Linked DNA regions of Mytilus edulis. The protein of the gene in region 2 binds, or shares a complex with, the protein of the main gene of each other region. Links are inferred from orthologs where the notes say so. Each region holds a gene or a part of one and is shown on either strand. Other genes may lie near its edges. The genes, in order: queuine tRNA-ribosyltransferase catalytic subunit 1-like and queuine tRNA-ribosyltransferase accessory subunit 2-like.

Region 1 (12,331 bases), about 50 Mb from region 2:
GATAATACTGATTAGAATCAATCATATTTATATGAACAGAAATAAACTACAACCTATAGAGTTTTGTATTTCAATGGACTTCTCAGGAGTGAGCATCATTTCAGATCCATCATGGGGAGATTGAAATTTAACTCCCTCTTCTGTAATCTCAGCTAATTTTAGTAAGGAAACCATTTGGAATCCACCACTGTCCTGTAAAAAGAAGGAAAACTCTTATTGAATAATGACAAGTTGGAAGAATAAGGAAAAAAATCATTTGCAGATCACAAAAAAAATAATATAAATGGTCATTACAGATACATTTAACTACAACTGACATTATTTGAAGTTATTGAATAAAAGACAATTTTGAAAGTAGAAGAAATCTTCAAAAGCTATTGACTACCAATATTGACTATACATTGCAATATAAAGATACATGTATCAAAACAGAGAAAAATCAAGCACCACTCTTTTTATTTATGTGTTGTCATCAACATCTTAAACCTGCTAAATACTGAAAGTTTAAAAGCCTACAGATGAACTGTTCTATGCAACCACAACTAACATACACATTAAAAGAGTTTGAACTAAATCCTATACAAATTTAACTTGTGCATTTTTCTTTCTTCATGTACACGATGTATATCATTCCACAACATTTAATAAATGCCAGTGATAAACCAAAACATGTTTCAAGTATGATAATTATATTGTTCTATTTTTAAGTTTTATTCAGTAAGTGCATGTTTTATATTAGGAAGCTATCTTCCAGCCATAATCAACATGATCAAGACAAGAACATATCAATGTTATATGAATATGAACATTCTTTGTACATAAGGCACACTTTGTTCCAGATTTTTGAAGTTCTGAATCACCATGTAACACTACATATATAACAGTTGACAAGAACATGTGTCATCTCATATAAACACATGACCAGTGCTTAGAAAAGTAGTAGCAATTAAAAATTTAACCATGTTAACAGTTAGATGTTTGATATAACAATGGAATAGACCAATCTCTGGCATGCTAACATCAAAGCATTCAAAGTATCATGGGATTTTAAACATGAATCATAATAATATGTATTACATATAGCTTACTGTCAGTAAAGATCTGTTCCAATTCATAAATTTATGAAGACCTCCAGCTTTTTCTAATAGTTCTGGACCCTGAAATAAAAATCAGTCTTTAACTTGTTAAAAGGAAAATATAATTTTGTAAGAAAAGTGTTACATACTGGTGAATTAACTGTGAATTATAAATATTTTCATGAAAGAAATGCATTCTAACTTCCACATTTTTCTTATCAATTTTTTTTTTCCAAGTCTCTCAACAAATGAACAAATGTAAATGCCTGGTTCTGTGCCTTATGTCAAAATTATTAGAAAATTATTTGAAAAGTAACACTGATCTGCTTACCACATTTAATACACAAACCAAATACAGTAACTTGAAGCAATGGTAAGGCCAAATAAAATAGAATGTGTGGTTCCAGTTACATCAACTTAATTTTGAAATCTTGGGGCATGCTTTGATTATTAGCATTGTGTATGAGATTCATAAAATTTGGATAGGTGAGGGCAAACTTTGGGGTGGTTGCTGAAACAAACAAAAAAATGCAATTTTTGGTTTAATAAAGGGCATTACTCTAACACACAAAATGACTCACTACCCCAATTTCTGTCTGCTTTTATCATGATTGTAGGTTCTTAGCATTATCATAATTACATGTATGTACAAGTTTCATAACATTTAGATAAGCCTGATGAGTAAAACGTACATTTTTTTAAGTCATAATGCTGAAACAGAAAAATTGCAATTGTCCCTGCATTAAAAAGGGGCATACCAATAGAATAGTAGGTTAATCACTACCTAAATTAGAACTCAATCTGCATAAGAGGTCCCAAGTTCCAAACCTTCGTCTTGCTGTCATATTTGGAAGGCTAATCATGCTGTTCACTGACAAATACATAAACTCAAACATGCTTACAGGGATAAGGGCTTCACAGTCTTTATTTTTGTGTATAATTTGTTTTGTAGGACTTGTCCCCTCTTTCATAATTTAAGGATGTACTTAGGCGAGGTTTTGGAATATGTGTCAAATGTTCGGATTCCTTGGTGTTTTTCCATACAATACAATGTAAAATATTTTGCCCCATAACACCCATTTATTTTTTCATATAAGACTTAATAGCTCATGAAAGGTCATTTACCAAAATTTTAGAAGATTCTTAATTTTCTTTCTTTTGTTTTGAGACCTAATAATACCAATGCAAATATAAGGTAAAAGTCAGAGTCAGCCTTTTCCCGCCATATTTTAAATCTCAAAGATGTCGAAAATGAGGTCCATGACCTATCAATATTTTTAGCTTATTTTTATCCTTAAAGGGAAACTTCGCAAAAAAATCAAAAATTGATATTATGTTTATTCTGTATAAAAATGCTCAAATTCATAGATATTAAAGTTTTATTCTGCTAGATAAGAGATCACCATCGATTTTAAATTTAGAGTATCAATTTTCTGAGGTCAGCCATTTTGTCACCTTCTCCGATTTGCAGTCACGATATGTCTAAGGACCAAAACCACAGTAACCCGATGTAGTCGTAATTGTGTGTCGATATCTCGTCAATCGTACAGTTGTTTTATCCGACTAGTTAACTAGTTAACTAACTTGATACGGAAAATGTTCTTCTTTTTTTTTTAAATAACCATGATCTGTTATTTTTAGACTGATAATATAGGAATTTAATAGTGAAAAAGTCAAAATTTCAAATCATAAATAAGTCTTCCGTGAAACTTGAATTGTTTTCGGAAATCTAATTAGTTCATAATTCTTTTAAGTAATAAACTTTATTCAAATAAATTAGGATCTTCGCTCCACTGATCACCCGCATGGCTAAAGGTATTACTCCCAAAGATATTGTAGGGGGTGTGAGGTGACACGTCCAGGTATTTAAGCGATTTCCTGTCGAGTTTGCAAATTCATGCATCGTTTCACTTCATAGTGTATTGATAAGTGTACACGGCCGATAACTTATAACTTTCCATTTTGAACTATTAGGTGTATAATATACATCTCTATCTTGCGTGTCCGAAAGTGATATTACTAAACTCATACGCTTGTTTATGAATAACATTTCTGGTGAAAAGAAAATTATTTATAAAAATATAAATAATACCAAAAAAAAAAAAAACAGATTTGATGAAATAAAAATCTATATACGTATTTTTTCCAAGGGTAAATTTGGTAAAATGTAATATATCTCGAAAAAAGGAAGAAATTCGCCATCATCACAATTGTTCCGACATGCATGTAATATATACGCAACTGGAAGTACACTAATACCGAGGGATGTGAATATTTTCCAGGAAAACTATAGAGTATCAAAGTTTCAAATCAATTTGGGGATTTATTTTCTCTCTTGATATTCAATGACAGCAATTTAAAGAATAAACTGCTTGTCCGTTTTAGTGGTATTCTTGCCAGTTGAAACAGACTTATAATTACATTAAAAAATTGGGAAAGATGACATTTAATTCGTTCATTTTTTTTTTAATACATCGTTGGTCAAATAGCTAAAGTATTATATATAGTTACGGTGTGAGACAAAGAGTATTTTAAGAAGGACATTCCCGATTATGTATAAATTTTGTTGATGTTTTTCACACTTGAAAAGCATATCTGTTCGTAATTTGTTTATTCCATTCCAATTAGATCCTTTAATTTCCTGTCAATTTTTTAAAACATCTTTTTTCAAATATCTGAAGTATTCATGTGTTGCGAGATTTAAAATATTTTGATGAGCAGTTTAATTCCTAAATAGGTAATTAAAGATCACTATGGATGGACTAAATTATATAATTACAATTGTTAATGATCTGTTTGAAATATTTAAGGCTGCCGTTCCTAATTTGAAAAAGTACAATTTTTAGTTCATAAACTCGTGTTTAGAAGGCTATTTTTTTTATTTATAAATTCTTCAATTAAAATAATTCAGTATTTTATCGTTACTAAAGTAATCAAAAGTCATAATTCATTAAAAGTGATCTTATGCAAAATATAAAAATATACAACAGCTATCCAGTTATTGTGCAATCTTATTATTCCCGTTAATTAATTTTAATTATTTTTTTTTACATTCATGTGTCTGAAACTTTGTCCGACTCCCGTTTACAATTGATACGAAATGTTGTTCACACCTGAAATGCCAGTGAACCGTGACGCCTAGATTTCACTGAATGAGGATCAAAAGATTAGAATTACATAATGCTAATCTTTTAATTACCTTGAGTTAAACTACGCATTCCACATTCTTTAGGTGTCACAAAACAATACACATTTTATTGTTTCCACCCGTACAAGCAAGTGAAAATGATTGCTGGAATGAAGCACAATGGTCAGAATACAAACATGTATTTTTAATACACTATCGATCATGTCAGTTTCGTATGTTTGTTTAAAGTATTTTTAGAAAAAAAATCATAAAAATGTTCTATTGTATGATTTACTTTTATTATTAAAATTCGTTTTAAAAAATCCACACGATCTTATTTTAAAAGTTGCATGGCTATCACTTATTTTTCGTTGGTTAATAGCTACACCAAAAGTCGTCGATGCGCTTTAAATCGCGTTATTAGATGGTTAACGAACAAGACTTAAATGAGATATTTTCACTCCCGGCATGCATCAAAGACTTAACTACGTCACATAAGTCAGGAAGTTTCAAAAAATAAAATTAATAATTCCCAATTTTCTTCTTTATTAGATTTCATATCAAAATAAAACTTGGTGAATATGTTTTTTATGGTATTATGAACATAATAAGATGAAAAGTGAAAAATCGCGAATTATCCCTTTAATTGATGCTCTACCAGCTTATAGAATCAATTTTAACTTCTTGATTTATTAATTTTCACCTAACCTCACCTAAGTACATCCTTAATGTCTTTCATGTCTTTATTATCCCTCATGTTTAAACTCTTTAAATGATCAATCACTATTCAAGATATTGATTGGTTTCAAATTAATGTTGTATCATTCAACATAGTAAACATCTTACAGGTCTATTACCAAGATGGTAAGTATTTCCTAACATGATTTTACAGTCTAGCTCCTCTAATTGTTCAGGTAACAGACCCTTCAGCGTTCCTTGTGTACCAACTGGCATAAAAACAGGAGTTTCTACAATAGAATGGGGAAGTGTCATATGACATGCTCGGGCTTTTGTTGTTGAACATTCTGCTAAGATTTTCAGTGAGAGTGCATGTGCTTTGGAAGTCATGTTTGTTTCTAATTTTATTCAAACCAATCAAAATTCATTTCTCAATCAAACCCTACTTTCGTTTTGCTTTTAACCAATCAATTGCATTCTTTTGGCGATTAGTCGGTTGGCTGCTGCTTGCGTTGCAATCGATTTCCGGTCAATATGGCAGATGTCAACACTGGAAATTTGGCACCTGATGTCTTAGAAAGTAGCACACAAACCATACAATGGAAGTCTATATCGTTAACTCATGTGGAATATCCTAAAGGTCTAGTTATGAGCTAATGTCAGTAATGAAAAACAGCACCACCGCGTTTAAAATGAATATAGGCCCATAAATTAACAATATTGATTGATACATTAATGCCTACATTATCCCAAATTGAAGATAATCATATCATTATTTACAAAATTTCGAAGTCCAATGAGAAAGTTGGTACTTGTAACATTAACATGCCTAAGAATATTGCATTGAAAAACATTCAATTTGTTCTGAGGTCCAGGTCTGACTGTACATCATAGGGGTTTGTTACAAAAAATCATTTTGCGGGTTTACTATCCATACAAACCCCGAAAAAATCACAAGGGAGGAAGCTCATTTGCCACAATGCTTCAAATTATTGTTTAAAATTTTTTTTTAAGACTTTCACTTACATTGTGATCTGAATAAATCTCTTCCCACTTGAATTACATGTATATCTTCAATGACATATATTTATTCCCTTAAGTAACCTCTATAACTATTGTAATCCTTAAAACAAACTCAACATTTCTGGAATAGAATGAATCAAGGACCTACATTTGAAAATGAAAGTCCTAAAGCTACACCTACAGGAAAATATATTTTCCGCACTCTCTGGAGTTTACGATAGTTGTCACGTTTTTTGGAAGTCCACTGTATTTTAGGTTTCAATAATGTCAAAATGACGGGAGTTATTAGGTACACACTGTGTTTCTTTGTCATATTATGGTAAACTCCAGAGAGTGCCGAAAATATATTTTCCGGTAGATTTTGCTATAGTACTTTCATTTTCAAATGTAGGTCCTCGATTCATTCTATTCCAGAAATGTTCTTCGTACGGATAGTAAACACTGTCACAGCAAATTGTAACAAACCCCTTTGGGTACATCTTATCACTATTTGAAAATCTGTTTCGCTTGACCCTTAGAATCTGTGCCAGTTGAACTTTTGACGTCATTTAACAACCACTTTTCCATTGTGTCTGCTGATATTTTCTACTGTCATGACTGTAATGTCAAAATTTTTCGCGAACCTAAAAGCGGTGTCCAGTGATGGCGGACAAATTGCAATAAGGTGAATAGTGCTGGAGCGGTGTTTAGCCAAGAAATTGTTAAGGCACCAAAAATTGAAGCATGTAAACCTTTTTAGCTCACCTGGCCCAAAGGGCCAAGTGAGCTTTTCTCATCACTTGGCGTCCGTCGTCCGTCGTCCGTCGTCGTCGTCGTCGTTAGCTTTTACAAAAATCTTCTCCTCTGAAACTACTGGGCCAATTTTTACCAAACTTGGCCAAAATCATCATTGGGGTATCTAGTTTAAAAATTGTGTCCGGTGACCCGGCCAACCAACCAAGATGGCCGCCATGGCTAAAAATAGAACATAGGGGTAAAATGCAGTTTTTGGCTTATAACTCAAAAACCAAAGCATTTAGAGCAAATCTGACATGGGGTAAAATTGTTAATCAGGTCAAGATCTATCTGCCCTGAAATTTTGAAATGAATCGGACAACCCGTTGATAAGTTGCTGCCCCTGAATTGGTCATTTTAAGGAAATTTTGCCGTTTTTGGTTATTATCTTGAATATTATTATAGATAGAGATAAACTGTAAACAGCAAAAATGTTCAGTAAAGTAAGATCTACAAATAAGTCAACAGGACCAAAATGGTCTGTTGACCCCTTTAGGAGTTATTGCCCTTTACAGTCAATTTTTAACCATTTTTCGTAAATCTTAGTCATCTTTTACAAAAATCTTCTCCTCTGAAACTACTGGGCCAAATTAAACCAAACTTGACCATAATCATCATTTGGGTATCTAGTTAAAAAATTGTGTCCGGTGACCTGGCCAACCAACCAAGATGGCCGCCATGGCTAAAAAAAGAACATAGGGGTAAAATGCAGTTTTTGGCTTATCACTCAAAAACCAAAGCATTTAGAGCAAATCTGACATGAGGTAAAATTGTTTATCAGGTCAAGATCTATCTGCCCTGAAATTTTGAGATGAATTGGACAACCCGTTGATAGGTTGCTGCCCTGAATTGGTAATTTTAAGGACATTTTGCTGTTTTTGGTTATTATCTTGAATATTATTATAGATAGAGATAAACTGTAAACAGCAAAAATGTTCAGCAAAGTAAGATCTACAAATAAGTCACCAAGACCAAAATGGTCTGTTGATTTCTTTAGGAGTTATTGCCCTTTATAGTCAATTTTTAACCATTTTTCGTAAATCTTAGTTATCTTTTACAAAAATCTTCTTCTCTGAAACTACTGGGCCAAATTAAACCAAACTTGGCCACAATCATCATTGGGGTATATTGTTTAAAAATTGTGTCCTGTGACCTGGCCAACCAACCAAGATAGCCGCCATGGCTAAAAATAGAACATAGGGGTGAAATGTAGATTTTGGCTTATAACTCTGAAACCGCAGCCTTTAGAGCAAATCTGACATCGGGGTAAAATTGTTTATCAGGTCAAGATCTATCTGCCCTGAAATTTTCAGATGAATCTGACAACATGTTGTTGGGTTGCTGCCCCTGAATTGGTAATTTTAAGGAAATTTTGCTGTTTTTGGTTATTATCTTGAATATTATTATAGATAGAGATAAACTGTAAACATCAATAATGTTAAGCAAAGTAAGATTTACAAATAAGTCAACATGACTGAAATGATCAATTTTCCCCCTTAGAAGTTATTGTCCTTTATAGTCAATTTTTAACAATTTTCATAAAATTTGTAAATTTTAACTAACATTTTCCACTGAAACTACTGGGCCAAGTTCATTATAGATAGAGATAATTGTAAGTAGCAAGAATAGAGATAATTGTAAGTAGCAAGAATGTTCAGTAAAGTAAGATGTACAAACACATCACCATCACCAAAACACAATTTTGTCATGAATCCATCTGCTTCCTTTGTTTAATATTCACATAGACCAAGGTGAGCGACACAGGCTCTTTAGAGCCTCTAGTTCTTCTTTTTAAATGACAAAGAATTTAACAAATCTTTAATTCTAAGAAAGAAATTTTACAGTCTAGTAGATCAGGGGTCACCACACCAGGCGAAGTGAGCGACAAAGTCGCTCTAGGTCTCCCCACTTCGCTCTAGAGAAGCTCCAGGGAGAAGTTTATGTCGCCCTCGATTTTCAGTAAAATTCCCCAATGTCGCCTCATGGTTTTTGAGAAATTCTCGATTCAAACGTAAACGACTGATAGGTATTGAAATACAAAGCATGTTTTCCTCAAATTCAGAACTGATTTCTCCGCGATAGTATCATACTTCAACATAAAAATTGCTTGCCCGGGTGTACTATAAGCAAGAAAAAAGAAAAATCTCGATTTTTTTATGATTGTTAATTGTCCGCCATCTTTGTTATTGAAAATTGTAGATGGCGCCATTTCATCTTTTCAACTCTCATCGTTTACCTAATCCATATTGATATGCACTATTAATTTTGATTTTCTTATATTTACTGACAATATGTGATGTCCCATAAAAATTTTTAGATTTCTTTTCAAAAACGGAATATTATCAACTGGTATCTGCTTGTATTTTTACTACGTACGTAGTTTAGTACACTGCCGGGAACCAGCACAACGATTATAAACTATAACGCAGTCGTTTTTTTTGTTCAGGATTTTGTTTAACAGACTGATACATGTGCTTTGTTTCAGCTAAAGGTCCTTAAACAGTATTTCAATGAATATCTGCTCATGAATTTGATTAGGAACGGCAATATTTACTTCCAAAGTCGTATATTTTGAAAAATATAAAGTAAGAATTTTTGACGCGGATCGCACCGTATTTGTTTTTAATTTACAAGTACCAATTCAATTCGGGTTATGAAAAATACGACTTTTCCGATGTTACTTTTTGTGATTTAGTCATATTAAACACTCGTGAAGTGTTTTAGAATCAATTACATACATTTCTAACGGCAACTTGATTTTGGAAATCGGCATTTCCATGAAAATATCGCAAACATGTGCGATTACATATACACGATTTGAAATAAACAGTTTTACTTTACGTTTTCAACACATGTCAAACAGTTTTCTCTCTGAATTCTAATAACATATTATTTTAAGAACAAATACATTTTTGAATCATGATCTTAGCTATGAAAGACATTGAAACCATATTTTAACTTTTCTCAATTGATTATTATTTTTGTTTTAAAAGGTTCTTGGACTTAGTTTAATTTTAAAGTCTTTGAAATGCAGCATAATTTGATCCATGTCAAATCTTCAATTCATTTAGACCTACCAGAATAAACATACATGTAGCTCTTATGCCATTAACTTATGGTCCTTATGTCATGATATTTTGTGACAATTTGCATAGGTACACATGTAAATAAAAAAGTATTTCAGACTACAAGCATGGCAAGACAAGGACTTACAAAATGTACTTCCTTAGCAATTGTCAATCACAAATGATTAGAAAAGTAGCAAAAAGGTATAGATTCTTAGAAAATTTTATTCATAAAAAGTATAAACGCGATCTGTTGATTTTCCCTGAAGGCTCCCTGTTGGGCCTTCACTTCTCCCTGAAGTCTCCCTGTTGGGTCTTCACTTCTCCCTGTTTGGCTGCCAGGGAGAAGTGACTTCTCCCTATAATTTTGAAGTGTGGTGACCCCTGGTAGATATCCCAAACTATCTTACATTTCATAATTGAATTATGAAAATTAACACGCTGAGGGATCAAGTATTAAGTGACTGGTCAATTTTACATGATTAAGGCACTGCAGGATAAAAAATATATATCTCAAGGGCACTGCTGGACTGTGTTATATCATTTGTATATTGGCCTGGTGAGAACACTACAGAGAAGTATAAATTCTACCCTTCAACTGTACATGTACACCTTATTGCTGTTTGTCAGTCATTCCTGGACATGACAGCCATTCTCATAAAACTTTTGATGTTGTAAGAAAAAAAAAATTGTCTGTCACCACAAAAGAAAAATGGCTGTTGCATACATCATGTACATTTGTTATGTCAGTAATTCAAGAGTGAAGTTCTGGGGTCAATGGTCACAAATTCTTTATAAGTGATACAAGTCTACTGAATAATACTTATCTCGAACACCTATGGCCATACCTTTAAATGCTAAAAAATGTCTAAAAACTTCAACCTGTTGTACATGTACTGTACTGTAAACAAGACCAGTCCTTGAATATCAACTCTTTTACAGGTTAAATGGTTAATGAGTCAAAGGATTGTCTAGTAATCGCTTCTAGGTTCAAATGCTCAATTTGACAACACTAGTTAACTTATGAACAAAAAACATGTACTGAAGCCAAATAAAGTGTGCGTCATGCAAAGAATTTGACGTTTATCATGTTTTCATGTATATTACAAAAAGATTGGGGATGGAACAACTTTATTTATCATTTATATCACCGAACACAAATTCAAAAACATTCATTTAAAAATTTACTGAAAAATAAGGTTCAAGGGACTGAATTGAAAAACTTTAAAAAAATATAAATCAAATTGTAATGTTTGCTCCGAATACAGAATTAAGTGCCTTTCAACTTTGACTTTTACTTTCCTTACAGCTTTACTAAACATGGAAAACTTTTTCAAGTATTTACTTGACATGCAAATGACATGATAATTTACTTACAAAATGTACTCAATGTAAATAAATCATGAATGCAATATTTTTTTGTACCGTAATTAAAACCTTTTCATATTTCTGTTCCAGGAGATTTGATTGGATATGTTTTAGCATGGTTTAGTCTGGTTCCAATTTTTGTATGTGTTGGATTTGCTGCTCTCATTATTTTTAGACGTGATTTACACACGGTAAGTACATGAATTGTGTACATACACAACAGCCCTAGGCCCCTAGTGGATTTGCTTTTTCCACCTGCCCACAGAGGACAGCCTACCTGTGCCCACTCTGGCTATATTCTCTCTTTTTTATGCCCCACCTACGATAGTAGAGGGGCATTATATTTTCTGGTCTGTGCCTCCGTTCGTCCATTCATTCGTCCGTTCATTCGTCCCGCTTCAGGTTAAAGTTTTTGGTCAAGGTAGTTTTTGATGAAGTTGAAGTCCAATCAATTTGAAACTTAGTACACATGTTCCCTATGATATGATCTTTCTAATTTTAATGTCAAATTAAAGTATTGACCCCAATTTCATGGTCCACTGAACAAAGAAGAAGATAGTGTGAAGCTCAGGTTAAAGTTTTTGGTCAAGGTAGTTTTTGATGAAGTTGAAGTCCAATCAACTTGAAACTTAGTACACATGTTAACTATGATATGATCTTTCTAATTTTAATGCCAAATTAAAGTATTGACCCCAATTTCACGGTCCAGTGAACATGTAAAATGATAGTGCGAGTGGGGCATCCGTGTACTATGGACACATTCTTGTTGTAAAAATATTGATTACAAATGCTTATCTGTTTTTTCAATTGATTGGGCAGAGTGGACAAGGCTAGAAATGTTGCCCATCTGTTGCATTGGGGTGGTCATAACAAAATCCACCTTAGCTGTAGTGTAAAATATAACAGATCTGTGTATCAAATGGAAGTGTAATTACTTAGTTTTTGTTCAGATTTACACACCTTTAAAAAAAAAGGATATGATTGTTGGTCAGATAAATTTCCATCAGAGTCAAAAGACATGGTATGATGGATTAAAGTAACAATCTAAATGACTAGTTACCTGAAAACAGCATGATTGATGAAATTTAACACAACATGTACATGAAAAACTAATATTACAGACAACAACCACTGATATGCAGGCTCTTGATAATGCTAGTGCTATTGTCAGGAAAACACATGCATTATTTGTTTCCTATTAAGAGTTTTAAGACTGTTAA
Region 2 (12,439 bases):
CCAAGTCAGAAACCTCTGCCGTCTAGTCTTTTTTAGTCTTGCATGTTTTTAAAATTTTAGTTCATTTATATGTTTCAGAGTTTAGTGTGACTCCATTTTCACTGAACACATTTTTGTTTAGGAGCCAGCTGAAGGCTGCCTCCAGGTGCGAGATTTTGTCGCTGTGTTGAAGACTTATTGGTGGCCTTTGGCTATTTTCTGCTCTTTGGTTGGGTTGCTGTCTCTTTGACACATTCCTCATTTCCATTCTCATTTTTATGAATAGAGTCTTATATTTTGTGAATAGAAAATAATTACCAGGAACAGGAAGGGCTATAAAATTCTAAGATTATCCTATCCATGAAATAATTGTATAAATTCATATTTTCTAATCCAAATTAATGAGTCTATATTTACTGTAAATTCAGAAATTATTGTGATGTTTTTATTATTGCGAAAAGTGTGACAGGGTTATAATCTCAATAATTTAAAAATGCATTTTGAAATTTTTTATAAGAATTAAAACAGGATTTTGCTCAATATCGCAACAATTAAAATCGCATTTTAGTCTAAAATTACAAATTCACAATAATAAATACACGCAATAGTTTCCGAATTTACAGTTTCCATTGTTTTTGTGTTGTTGGGTTAAGAAATTTTGTTTCCATTGTTTTTGTGTGTTGCTAGGTTAATATCTTTTTTATGTAAATGACCCACCTGCTTTCTTTCCTAATAATCCTAGTAACAAGATGATTCTTTAATGCAGAATTAAATTTATAACATTTCAAACTAGGTCATTAGCCTTATTTTGTTATAAATACACTATTTTAATTTTCTGTCTGGTAAACCAGCAACAAACCAAAATAATTTTAGAAGTAAACATTTACTTTTTACACGTTGTGACTTGGATGCCGAGTTGTCTCATTGGCACTCAAACTACATCTTCTTTATTTCTATTTGAAAATAACACCAAATAATTTTTCAGCTCTTTTAAACTTTTTGCAAATAATAGTCAGCTTATAAATAAAGGCAACAGTAGTATATTGCTGTTTAAAATTAATAAATCGATTGAGAAAAAAAAAAAACGGGTTACAAACTTAAACTGAGGGAAACGCATCAAATATATAAGAAAAGAACATACAAAGTATCTATAAAGGTGAAAAGGCTATACCTTATACTTCCCTCCCTTTGTCCAGATTGCTGTCCCTGATTTTTCATTGTATCCCGAAGGTACCTCTGTAGCTGGGTCATGTAAGGAACAGTAAACTGCAAAATCCTTTAAAAAAATTATAAACTTTGTTTTACATTTTCTTTAAATACACATACACTTCCTAAAATTACTAAAATTTCAACATATGTATAACTCATGTAATTACAGAAACAAAATATTTCTCCTATATTATCTTCAAACATGGGCCCATTAATAAAAATAAATGGATGTGTTGCTGAAAGAATCTAAAATCAAGTTTATAAAACCTGTACAGATTTTTACTCCACGGTTTTGCAATCTGTTGTTTGGCATTTTTTATCAATGGAATATATCCTGTCATTAAAGGTTATGTAGATATTGATATAAACTTTAAACACAGATATATGTCTCGCCTATTTGTGTTATTTTGATAATACAAATATTGAAATAAGAATAGCAATACTTTAACATATAAGTTATGCAAAGATTTAAAGTCAATGAACCATGACTGAAGGTACAGGGCTAAACAATTGCCATGGAAATTAGATGTGCCTATGCTAATATGTTTTACGAGTTGATATAGATGTATTACGCGTTATAAGCAACAGACATTGTAAGTCTGAGGTACTATTTGTCAGTAAGTCTTCCATATAATACAGACATATTACTGATTTTTAACGGACATAGCTATTTTACCTGTGTAGAACTCACATTTAAAAAGACCAATATTTTTTGGTGTAGAACTAAAAGCTGAAGCCATATTTACCTGCATGCCACAGAAATTAGCTATTCCTTCCTTAAACTGTGTGACAGCTTCACTATGTTCTGCCCTGGAAGAAAAAAACATTAACAATTCATGATGATGATGGTGGGAGTTTTTAACAACATTGACTGACTATACAGCCCTCAGGTAAAACAATCCATTTATATTACATCATAAATTTACATGGATATATTAAAGATATAATGAAGGTCATACTCCATACATAATATACATCTTGAATTTATACATTTATGTTGACTTAGTCAAATTAAGGCATGCATATTTCCCATAATAAATATCTTTAAGGGCATGAATGAAAAAGTGAACATCATAGATCATGGGACATAACTCTGCTTATTCCATTGTAAAGGGAAAAAAATGATTCATGGTTCATCTAATTTCATTGTAAAATTATGAAATTGAATCATAATGTATAACATAAAACTGAACAATGCTTTTTGCATTTTAAAAAGTAAAATTTCAACTAATACAATGAAATTTAAAAAGTTATAATTACTCGTTTTATTTTACTTACAGAGAACTTAAATACATGTGAGCCATTGGAGGAACTCTCTGTATCTTCTTTAAGACGTCTAACGTCAAATGAGGAGCATTGCCTAAAAAAGACGAAAAAATATAACACGATGTAAATGTCAATTGGTATATATGACAAAATGCCACTGAAATGAATGTAAACTGTTGGATAGGATTAAATGAGAATTGAAAACACAATGAATTATAAATGTGGAAACTAAACAGTATAACAGTGTGGTGTAGCATACAATTTTATTTCAGTGGTAGGTTATAAGTCATTAATAAAAATAGGATCAGTTATCAAAAATGGAATAATTATTTTATAACAGAAATATTGTCCTAAAAACATACTTTTCATTTCTATGATACAAAACACAAACAATATAGGTTTCTGCAAATTTCTTCAATTTCTTTTTAAACTCTACTTATTTTCATATCCATAATTTACTTACCTCCTCTGGTATATAACATACACATAGGAGTTTCTATACTTTTGGTTCCATTCTTTCCTAGGTCAGTGATAAGCCCTAAACGACAACCATTCTTCACATTCTGCACAGAAAACTTCATTTTTTCTTACAGTTGTGTAATTCAAATCAGATGGGAATACTAAAAATAAAAAAAAACAATGATAAAATATTATAAATTTAAAGATGCAATACTGAATGTCATCATATCGTGTATGTGTATCATATCAACTTAAAAAAAAACCCTAATTTTCTAGTAAACATTGCTGTGGACAATAGACATATTTACACTTGTATGCAAATTTGTACGCCATTACGTAAAATCACACAGGTTCCCGTAAACTCTGACATCATAATTCAAAAATTTGACTTCACATTTAAAAAGTGATTGTTGCTTGACGTCAAAAAGGTGATTCAGAGTAGATTTAAGGTCATTTTGAGGCTATATATAGCTAAATACTAAAAAGTGTAAATGCGTTAATGCTGGGCAGAAAAACCATTTCAAACTCAACCCTCCAATTGTGAACTTTCCATTTCTAAGTAGCAACATTCCAGCAGCACCTGCATACAGGGTACATATCTCCTAAATTGGTACGATATTTCCGTGCTTGTTTTTCTTATCATGATTTTCTTAATAGAGGGTTGCTGCTCACAAGGAAGCTATTAAACCAAGAGTTTCAAATGGCTTCATAAATTTTACAGATGCCATCACGAGTTGGTTGACCGTTATGGAATAACTGTTTCACAGATGATATCGGATATGTTCCTTACGTCATAACTACAATCCCTTTCCCTTTCATGAATGTGACCTACCAATTTAGACTATTTACCGGTTCTGTTATAACATGAGCAACACGACGGGTGCCACATGTGGAGCAGGATCTGCTTACCCTTTCTGAGCACCTGAGATCACCCCCAGTTTTTGGTGGGGTTTGTGTTAATTATTCTTTAGTTTTACGTGTTTTGTCATGTGAACTATCGTTTGTATGTTTTTCTTTTTCATTTTTAGCCATGGCGTTGTCAGTTTTTTTTCGATTTATGAGTTTGACTATCCCTCTAGTATATTTTGTCCCTCTTTTTAAGCTTATTTTTGTTAAATTCGGTATTGGGCTTATCTGATTTTTACAGAATTCTTGATAAACAATTATCTGACTTTGGGAATTGAAAACTCATTGTTTAGGATCCTGGACGAGATCTTTTTTCTGGGGGAGGGAAATTTGGGAAGACATATCTCTCAACCCTGCACATAGCTGACAATAGCGACAAATACAAATGCAGAATAGCTGTATGCTTACTGTTTGCATTATAAATATAGAAGAAGTATATGTCAAGAGAGAGAGGCAGACAGATACAGATGTGACTGTATACTGTTTTGACAGTTGTTTCCTTCATGTTAGTGGGTGTGACATTTTGTTTCGAGAGTAGGACTTTTCTAAGAAAAGCTGTAAATTCTTGGAATGGAACATAATTATCTAAAATTCAGTTTCTTCATACGGTTTGCTTCTCTTTATTTTTACGTGTACCATGTGTACTCACTATACTATTTTACTTGTTTTCATTTGTGGTATTTAGTGAGTCCAAAGGGACCCTTAATTTCTACAACAAAAATATTCCTAAGAATGAATCTCAAAAAATAAATACTCTCTAAAAGGTTTCATTAATGAAAATTTAAAAAAAGCCCATTGTTATCAAACATTTAAACATTTCTAAAACCATTAGTTTTTCTGATAAATGTTTTTGAATTTAATTCTCCCATTTGGATGTTTTTTTACCTTCTACAAACGAAAGCTGATATTTTGTGATAGATAGATTATAATTTTACGGTTTTGAAATATAGAATACAGAATGGTTCACATTATTTTTCCACCAACACTGACAGAAGAAGAAGAAATTCTCAAACAGAAATATGCAAAATTAAGAAAAAAGGTTAACATTTAAGATCGTGTGCAATGGTTTGCTTGGAAAAACAACAAAAAAATGACCAAACAAACTTTTCGAGTTTTCCACTTTTGGCCGAAACGACCAAGGCCAAATCGGCTTCATACATGAATCATCTTTTTTCCTATTATTTATCTTCTTCATGATTTTTTTTTATAGTCATTTACATTTCCTTAATGTGTCCTCGATAATACCAGCAAATATCTAATACCACAGTCACACTAGGCCACGATCTGTGAAAAAAAATGCAAATTTTAACGATCATAGTGTGATCTTGTAGATCTAAGTAAGGTCGTTATACGGTGGTGGTAAGGTCTTCAAGATCGTGATGAGCGTGGCCAACTTTGAACATGTTCCAAACAATCATGGTGCTGTTGAGGCGAAATCAGGTCGTAGTAGAAGTGTAGTGAGGGTGCAGCAAGGTAGTTGTAAGATCGCAAAGGTCTCTGTACCATCTTAGCAAGAGCGTAGCCAAAGCGTGATTCAATTAGGAGAGACTGCGCTACATGTACGATCTCACAGCAACATTACTGCAAGCTCACTATGACCATCACAGTCTCACTGCGATCTACTCTTCCATTATGGCTATACCACATTTACACCATGCTGTTTAAGACCATAGTCAATTCTAGCACACCAATGCCATTATCATCACGCTCTTCTTATAACCTGACTAAGTTCATACTACAACCATCATGCTCATTGTCATTTTCACATGAAATACATAAAAGCCCTCCAGGTTTTGTTTGTCTATATATATGTAATTTGGACCTTTTGTTGTTTTTCTCCAAAGGCTCAACCATGCTTGATCTGTGTCATCCCTGCTATTGTTCACTAAGGCAGCAACCATTTGATTTTCTGGGGGGGGCTATGGTTTTTTTTTCTGTACAACCTTTTTTTATCGCCTGCGGCGAAAAACAATCTATTTTTTTCGCGACAAGTCGAAAACAATTTTTTTCTTTCAATTTTAGCATTACATATAGACTGGCAGCTGAGGGTGAAACAAACATTTTTTTTTTCTCAGAATCAAAAACAAATTATTTTTTTCTCCAAAAACTGGAAACAAACTTTTTTTTCCAAAAAAAACCATAGCTCCCCCAGAAAATCAAATGGTTGCTGCCTAAAACATTGTCATTTGAGCTTGATGGACCAGCAATAGGTTGTGAATCAGGTTGGATTGCTTGGTCCGACATCTCTGCTAGATCAGGATTAGTTACTATCAGAGCTCCCTCTGCCTCTACATCTACTCCTACCACCATGCCCATGTGTTCTGGTAGATTTTGGTGGCATGACTGTGTTTTTTCCGAGAAATCTACGTTTTAATCAGAAATATAAGGAATGGAAAAGTATTTATATGGAACAGGATGTTGATGTTATTGCTGAGAATGTAGTAAGATCGCAATATGAATGTAGTATAATTGTGTTAAGAACGTGCTTTAATCGCAGTAGAAGTGTGGTAAGATCGTGTTGCAATCAGATAACTTTTGGTACAGTCGAAGTGAGAATGTGATGACAGTAGTAAGATCATGATAATGGTAGGAAAAGCGTGGTGAGAACGTGGTATAATTGTAGTGGGATCGTTGTAGAAACATAATGAGGACGTAGTTTCATCATGAAATAACGAAAATTAACATTTTCCTAATGCAACCTCACCACAATCTTTGTTTATATAAGATCTTGGTTAGCATGGTGCGATCATGGTATAGTGTGACTTGGGCTTTACAGATGTACTATCTTTGGCATATCCATCACTTAAAGAGTAACAAGAATGACTGAATTACACCGTTATTATCCGCTGAACAATTGTAATATCCAAATAACACTTGAAATTTGAATACTATGTTATATTAGTAGCTCATATTGGTGACTTTTAAACATTGATTATTAAATAGTAATATATAATTGATGTATTTTATAACTTATAAAATGATTTAAAGAAAGCAGGTAAGTTCATAAAGATCATTTTAAATTTTGTGTGTACATCTAACATGGCAGCCATTGTGATTTCTGTGGTCGCCATGTTGGGTGTACACACTTTATTCAAAATGATCTTTATAAACTTACCTGCTTTCTGTAAATCATTTGTAAGTTAAAAAATACATCGATAATATACTATTATTTAATAATCAATGTTTAAAAGTCACCAATATGTACATGCACGTGCATATATTAAAATTTCAAGTGTTATTCGTTCATTACAAGTGTTATTTGGATTATAATGGTGTTATTCGGTCATTCAATGTACCGTCACTTAAATGGTGTCAGACCTTTAATTCTGACAGTCCTTAACTCCAACAATCCTATGGTTTGACAGTCCAATAATGTGGCAGTCTTTGAAAAATTTTTGTACAGAATATAGATGTGTTACTGTTGTAAATTGGTATATTTTTTCACACAGAAAATTATCAAATCAGTCAGAATGATGCCTTGTACAGAGTCACACTAATCCCATATGAACAGGAACTGAAGCAGCTGTCTAAATTCAATTGGCAAACTTCAGATGAATCCGCTAATAATCTAAGATCATGTAGATGGTGGAACAGAATCAACCAAGTTTTGACAATTGGGTCTAAAACAGTAATAGGCCAGTCTTAAATGATTAATAGGAGAGCATTTATTACTTCAACATCAACCAGAGTTAATCAAGTTGCCATTTTAAGTGCATGTGCAACAACAAAAAAACTATTAAGAAAATTTAGGAACATTTCATTTTGCAAAGACAATTTTATATAATCATGATATATCAGTATATCCCTTATTATTTTCAGAAAAAAGCGTTATTAGCTGCTAGAACTCCAAAACCAGAGAAAGAACAACCAATCAATGCGCCAACAAAACGAGGTATATATTTCGAAGAAGATTAAAATCATTGAAATTTAGATCCATCTAAGAACTTTAGAATCTCCATATTTGTTCATGTTTTTTGGTGAATATTGTACTAAGACTATGTAGTCATAAAGTATTAAACACCTTTTTAAAGGAATTTATTGGTGTATAAACTTAACCAATTCACTCTTAAACAAATAAAGGAAGGACTTTTATAATATGTTTGTGAGTGACTTGGCCCAGTTTATACATACAATAAATTCCTTTAAATTGGTGTCAAATCCTTATAATTCTTTAAAATTTAAGATAATAAACTTAATTTCCTCACTTGTAACCTCTATTATACATAGATTTTCAAATTGAGAATGGGAATGGGGAATGTGTCAAAGAGATAACAATCCAACCAAAAATTGTATATTTGTGTCATTGAATGAAAATTTAATTGGTGCATAATGTCGAGAGCCACTACTGGAAGCCCTCTCGATCAATCATATAAATGTATCATAATAGCCAAATCATATTAAAATTGTGATTAATTAAAGGCCCTGTTTAAAGGAGATGAACTTAAGCCAAGTTGGCTGAAGGAGATACCAGTACTTTTAAGACTGTGTATAGATCATAAACTTAGTCAGCTTCTGAAATGTTGTTAAGATGAAGTATTATGACTTGCCATTAAACAATTGAAATGTATGGCATATTTTGAAAATTTGCTCACCTGAAAATTAAATTTCTGTATAATAGAGTAGAAGAAAATTATAATCCTGATCAACATGATCAAGATAAATTTAAAATACACTTTTTAATGAATGAATTAAATCTAAAGCATTATTTAGTCATTTTGATTTTATTGTAGCGCCTCCAGAAAATGCAGGAGATGCCACACAACAAGCTAAAAAATTATTGAAGTTAGGGGTAGGTAATTGTAGGTGGATCCAAGGGGGCCCTGGGGCCCCCCTTTTGTGGGAAAAATTTGGTTGATTATATAGGGAATCACTGAAGCATGACTGGAGCAGGCCCCCCTTAGGTCAGTCAGCGGACCCCCTTAGGAAAAGTACTGGATCCGCCACTGGTAATTGAATACCACGTTATTATACAGTGTTACCTGCCTAATCCGACACCTAACTATTCAAACATCCTGCTATAACGACACATTTTTATGGTCCAAAAATATGCCTTTCCTTTCAGGAAAAACCTGCTTTATCTGACAATTTTTTTCTGGTCTCCCAATTTGTGGGATAATGCAGGTTACACTGTATCTGTATCTATAAGAAGATGTGGTATGATTTCCAATGAGACAACTCTTCACCAGAGACCAAATGATAAGCAATATAACAACTATCGATCACAATAGGACCTTCAACAATGAGCTAAATCTTATTTGCATAGTTAGCTATGAATGACTGGGAAATGACAAATGTAAATAAATTAAAACGAGAAAACAAATGACCTTATTTATGTATAAAACAGTAAATGAAAAACAAATATGATATACATAGAGCCTCAAAGGGAGACCACTGAGTAACAGGGTCATTATTCACATATACTACAATTTTCTGAAGTTTGGGTTAAGAAACAAATACATATAGGAAGATGTGGTATGAGTGCCAATGATACAACTCTATATCCAAGTCATAATTTGTAAAAGTAAACCATTATAAGTTAAAGTACGGTCTAAGTACATTTGTAAATATATGTGGTTACATATGTATACTGAAATTGGGTAGGAAAATTAAGTACTATGATATATATGATTATTTATATTAGTATTTAAATGAAAAATAAGGCATGCAAAAACGTCCAGATATGCAGTATGCCAAAAATAATATATTTTGAAATGTGTACCATATAATTTACATACAAATGAAAAAAATAAAGAATGCCAATGGGCAATGATTTGAATTTATATTGATATACAATGATTAACACAAATTTTAAAACTGCAATATTTGTAACAGAAATTTTGTTTTTTAAAAGGCAATTAAGATAAAAGAAAGTCAGGAAAAGCAGAATTTTAAAAGATCAAAGAACTTTGAAAAGAGAAAGGTAAGTTGTCTTGCCTCACTCCGACATGTCAGATGTTGAAACATGACTTAGGCATGCTGTTTCTGTCTCATGATAAGTGTCAAACATTGGGAGCATGGGTAGATCTTATGCACTTAATGATTTATTTTTAAATTTCAACATAAACTTTTTAACTATGGAATAATAAGAGAGGAAAGTGTGGCGTTTTATTTACATTGACAGATGGGTTGTAAATTATGGGCTAATGACATCTACTCTTTTAAGAATCAATCAATAGTTCAAATACAAAGGCAAACTAGAAAGTAATAATATATAGATGAACATCAAACTATTGAAAGGTTTTGCTTTATACAGATTATTTGTGTACAATTATTCAAACAGGACGAGGACAAGTTTCTCCTGGTTTTCAGATTTTGAACTGTAACATAACAGTATAAAATTGAGAGTAAAAAAACGAAAAATGTTTGAAACGAAAAAAATCATAAAAAAAGAATTGTATGTGGCAAGTCATTTCAACAAAACAGTATCTGTCTTTTTCTACAGGACTCTGAGAAGATTCCAGCTGTGGGATTTCAACCATTCTCATCGTCACACCAGGATGAGGAAGAAAAGGAGGTAATAAGGTCAAAGATTTATATTTATAATTGTTGGCATAGTAACAGTTTAGAAGGAACATGATTGAATTTAGATCATTCTCAATATGTCTGTACCTTAAGACAAAAAGTAAAGTTATTGTTGACATAGTAACAGTTTAGAAACTTTAGAAGGAAAATGAATCTGATTTATGACATCAGAAAACAAAAAGTGAATTAAAAAATATATAAAAGATTAAACAGTACCCTTAGAATAGCTGTAAAGGCATTGGTGAGAGCCATACATGTTTATAAAATCAGTTGGGAATCAAAGGAACTTGAAAAAGGAGGGTTTCATCAAGGCATCATTAGGGGTTGGACTTGTCAAAAGTGGGTTCTGGAATGAAAAAGAATAATAAAATGTCCTTCAAATCTTTCTGGATATCATAATAAAAACAGATTGCACCACCCTATCTCGTGTAAATTGATTTAAATATTTTAAACAATAAACGAGCCTCATTTTTAAATCCCAAAAGGTCACTGTCTTGTGAGGAGAAATATCTTATCAAATGTGATCACCTATGACAATTAATTATATGTTCCATTTCAGAAGAACAGACCAAGAGCGAGAGGTCTATATGATACCTTTGTAAGTGGAGGTACCGGTAAGTTATGATTAATTGAAGAATAATAAAGCCTGTTATTTGGCCCCTGAAATTGCATAAATATCAGTAGTAAAATTACCTAGTCTTTTCAATATTACGTTAGTTCTATTATTAGGACAATATAATCTGGTCTAAAACATCATTTGTTATGTCACTCATAACATCATAGTCATATTTGACCAAAATCTGCCATTAATGGATTTTTCATATCTTTTTTTTAGATAATAAAGTTTGAATTCTAAATGCATATATATAAGAAATGGTTCAAAAATATAAATACATTACTCAGTCTTTTTTTTTTTTTTTATAGATATAAGAATATGTGGTATGAGTGCCAATGAGACAACTCTCCATCCAAGACTTAATTTGTAAAAGTAAACCATTATAGGTCAAAGTACGGTCTGCAACAGGGAGCCTTGGCCCACACAGAACAGCAAACTATAAAGGGCCCTAAAAATGACTTGTGTCAAACCATTCAAACAGGAAAACAAACGGTCTAAATCTATATTACAAATGAGAAAAGAGAAACACTTAAGAACCACATCAACAAATGACAACTACTGAACATCAGGTTCCTGACTTAGGACTGGTGCAAACAAATGCATTTTAAGGAGGTTGTTTGATAGTTTTAATGTATTTTTTCAATTTCAAACAGGAACAAATATTATTTCTACTTACATGTATTAACACAAAAATTGATAATCACTTAATTAACCAAATTCAAATATAACTTTATTTGTACAGAGAGAGAAGGAGGGAGAGAGAGGGAACCACCGCCAAAGAAAGGACATACAATATATGTAAATGGTAATGGCATCTCAGAAGACATTCTTAGAAAAGCCTTCAAAGATATTGGTACTATATCACATATCACCATGGAGAAAGACAAAAAGTAGGTCATTTCACATATCACAACGTAGAAAGACAAAAAGTAGGTCATTTCACATATCACAATGGAGAAAGACAAAAAGTAGGTCATTTCACATATCACAATGGAGAAAGACAAAAAGTAGGTCATTTCACATATCACAACGAAGAAAGACAAAAAGTAGGTCATTTCACATATCACAACGTAGAAAGACAAAAAGTAGGTCATTTCACATATCACAACGTAGAAAGTCAAAAAGTAGGTCATTTCACATATCACAATGGAGAAAGAGAAAAAGTAGGTCATTTCACATATCACAAAGTAGAAAGTCAAAAAGTAGGTCATTTCACATATCACAATGGAGAAAGACAAAAAGTAGGTCATTTCACATATCACAATGTAGAAAGACAAAAAGTAGGTCATTTCACATATCACAACGTAGAAAGACAAAAAGTAGGTCATTACACATATCACAATTGAGAAAGACAAAAATTAGGTCATTATTTTAAACATATTTTATTGTTCAAATTTTATCAATATTATTATAACTATGAATACCAGTATAAAATTAAGAAGGTGTGGTTTGATTGCCGATGAGACAACTATCCAACAGAAT

What was found.
Region 1: the proteins of queuine tRNA-ribosyltransferase accessory subunit 2-like (region 2) and queuine tRNA-ribosyltransferase catalytic subunit 1-like are in contact, whole or in part, in a crystal structure (PDB 7OVS), measured with the Mus musculus proteins. The link is inferred for Mytilus edulis from reciprocal best matches to the Homo sapiens genes QTRT2 and QTRT1. Residues at the interface, in NP_001343258.1 of Mus musculus: Arg39, Thr40, Gly41, Ser42, Ala43, Pro44, His45, Leu46, Thr47, His48, Gln49, Thr50, Asn53, Glu70, His71, Glu73, Val74, Glu77, Tyr78, Phe85, Ile86, Gly87, Phe119, Gln342, Glu343, Phe345, Tyr355, Asn359, His360, Ala363; in NP_068688.2 of Mus musculus: Thr50, Thr53, Met54, Lys55, Gly56, Ile57, Thr58, Thr59, Glu60, Gln61, Ser64, Arg80, Pro81, Leu85, Lys88, Ala89, Phe95, Met96, Asn97, Ala307, Lys308, Phe310, Pro320, Thr324, His325, Ala328, Phe329, Ala332, Leu333, His335.

What each region holds. Positions count from the first base shown.
Region 1 is NC_092345.1:52,172,438-52,184,768, reverse strand, and holds the start of queuine tRNA-ribosyltransferase catalytic subunit 1-like, read right to left. Parts: upstream 5,303-12,331; 5' UTR 5,272-5,302; coding exon 5,050-5,271; intron 1,158-5,049; coding exon 1,089-1,157; intron 193-1,088; coding exon 54-192; intron 1-53. Other genes in the region: dolichyldiphosphatase 1-like, read left to right, coding at 5,416-5,521, 11,202-11,302.
Region 2 is NC_092345.1:2,451,177-2,463,615, forward strand, and holds the start of queuine tRNA-ribosyltransferase accessory subunit 2-like, read right to left. Parts: upstream 4,552-12,439; 5' UTR 4,469-4,551; exon of another isoform or gene 4,361-4,468; intron 3,127-4,360; exon of another isoform or gene 3,075-3,126; 5' UTR 3,036-3,074; coding exon 2,918-3,035; intron 2,549-2,917; coding exon 2,467-2,548; intron 1,999-2,466; coding exon 1,935-1,998; intron 1,256-1,934; coding exon 1,151-1,255; intron 1-1,150. Other genes in the region: negative elongation factor E-like, read left to right, coding at 4,778-4,858, 7,639-7,711, 8,550-8,608, 9,671-9,739, 10,262-10,333, 10,901-10,955, 11,700-11,847. UniProt on the Homo sapiens protein: Non-catalytic subunit of the queuine tRNA-ribosyltransferase (TGT) that catalyzes the base-exchange of a guanine (G) residue with queuine (Q) at position 34 (anticodon wobble position) in tRNAs with GU(N) anticodons (tRNA-Asp, -Asn, -His and -Tyr), resulting in the hypermodified nucleoside queuosine (7-(((4,5-cis-dihydroxy-2-cyclopenten-1-yl)amino)methyl)-7-deazaguanosine).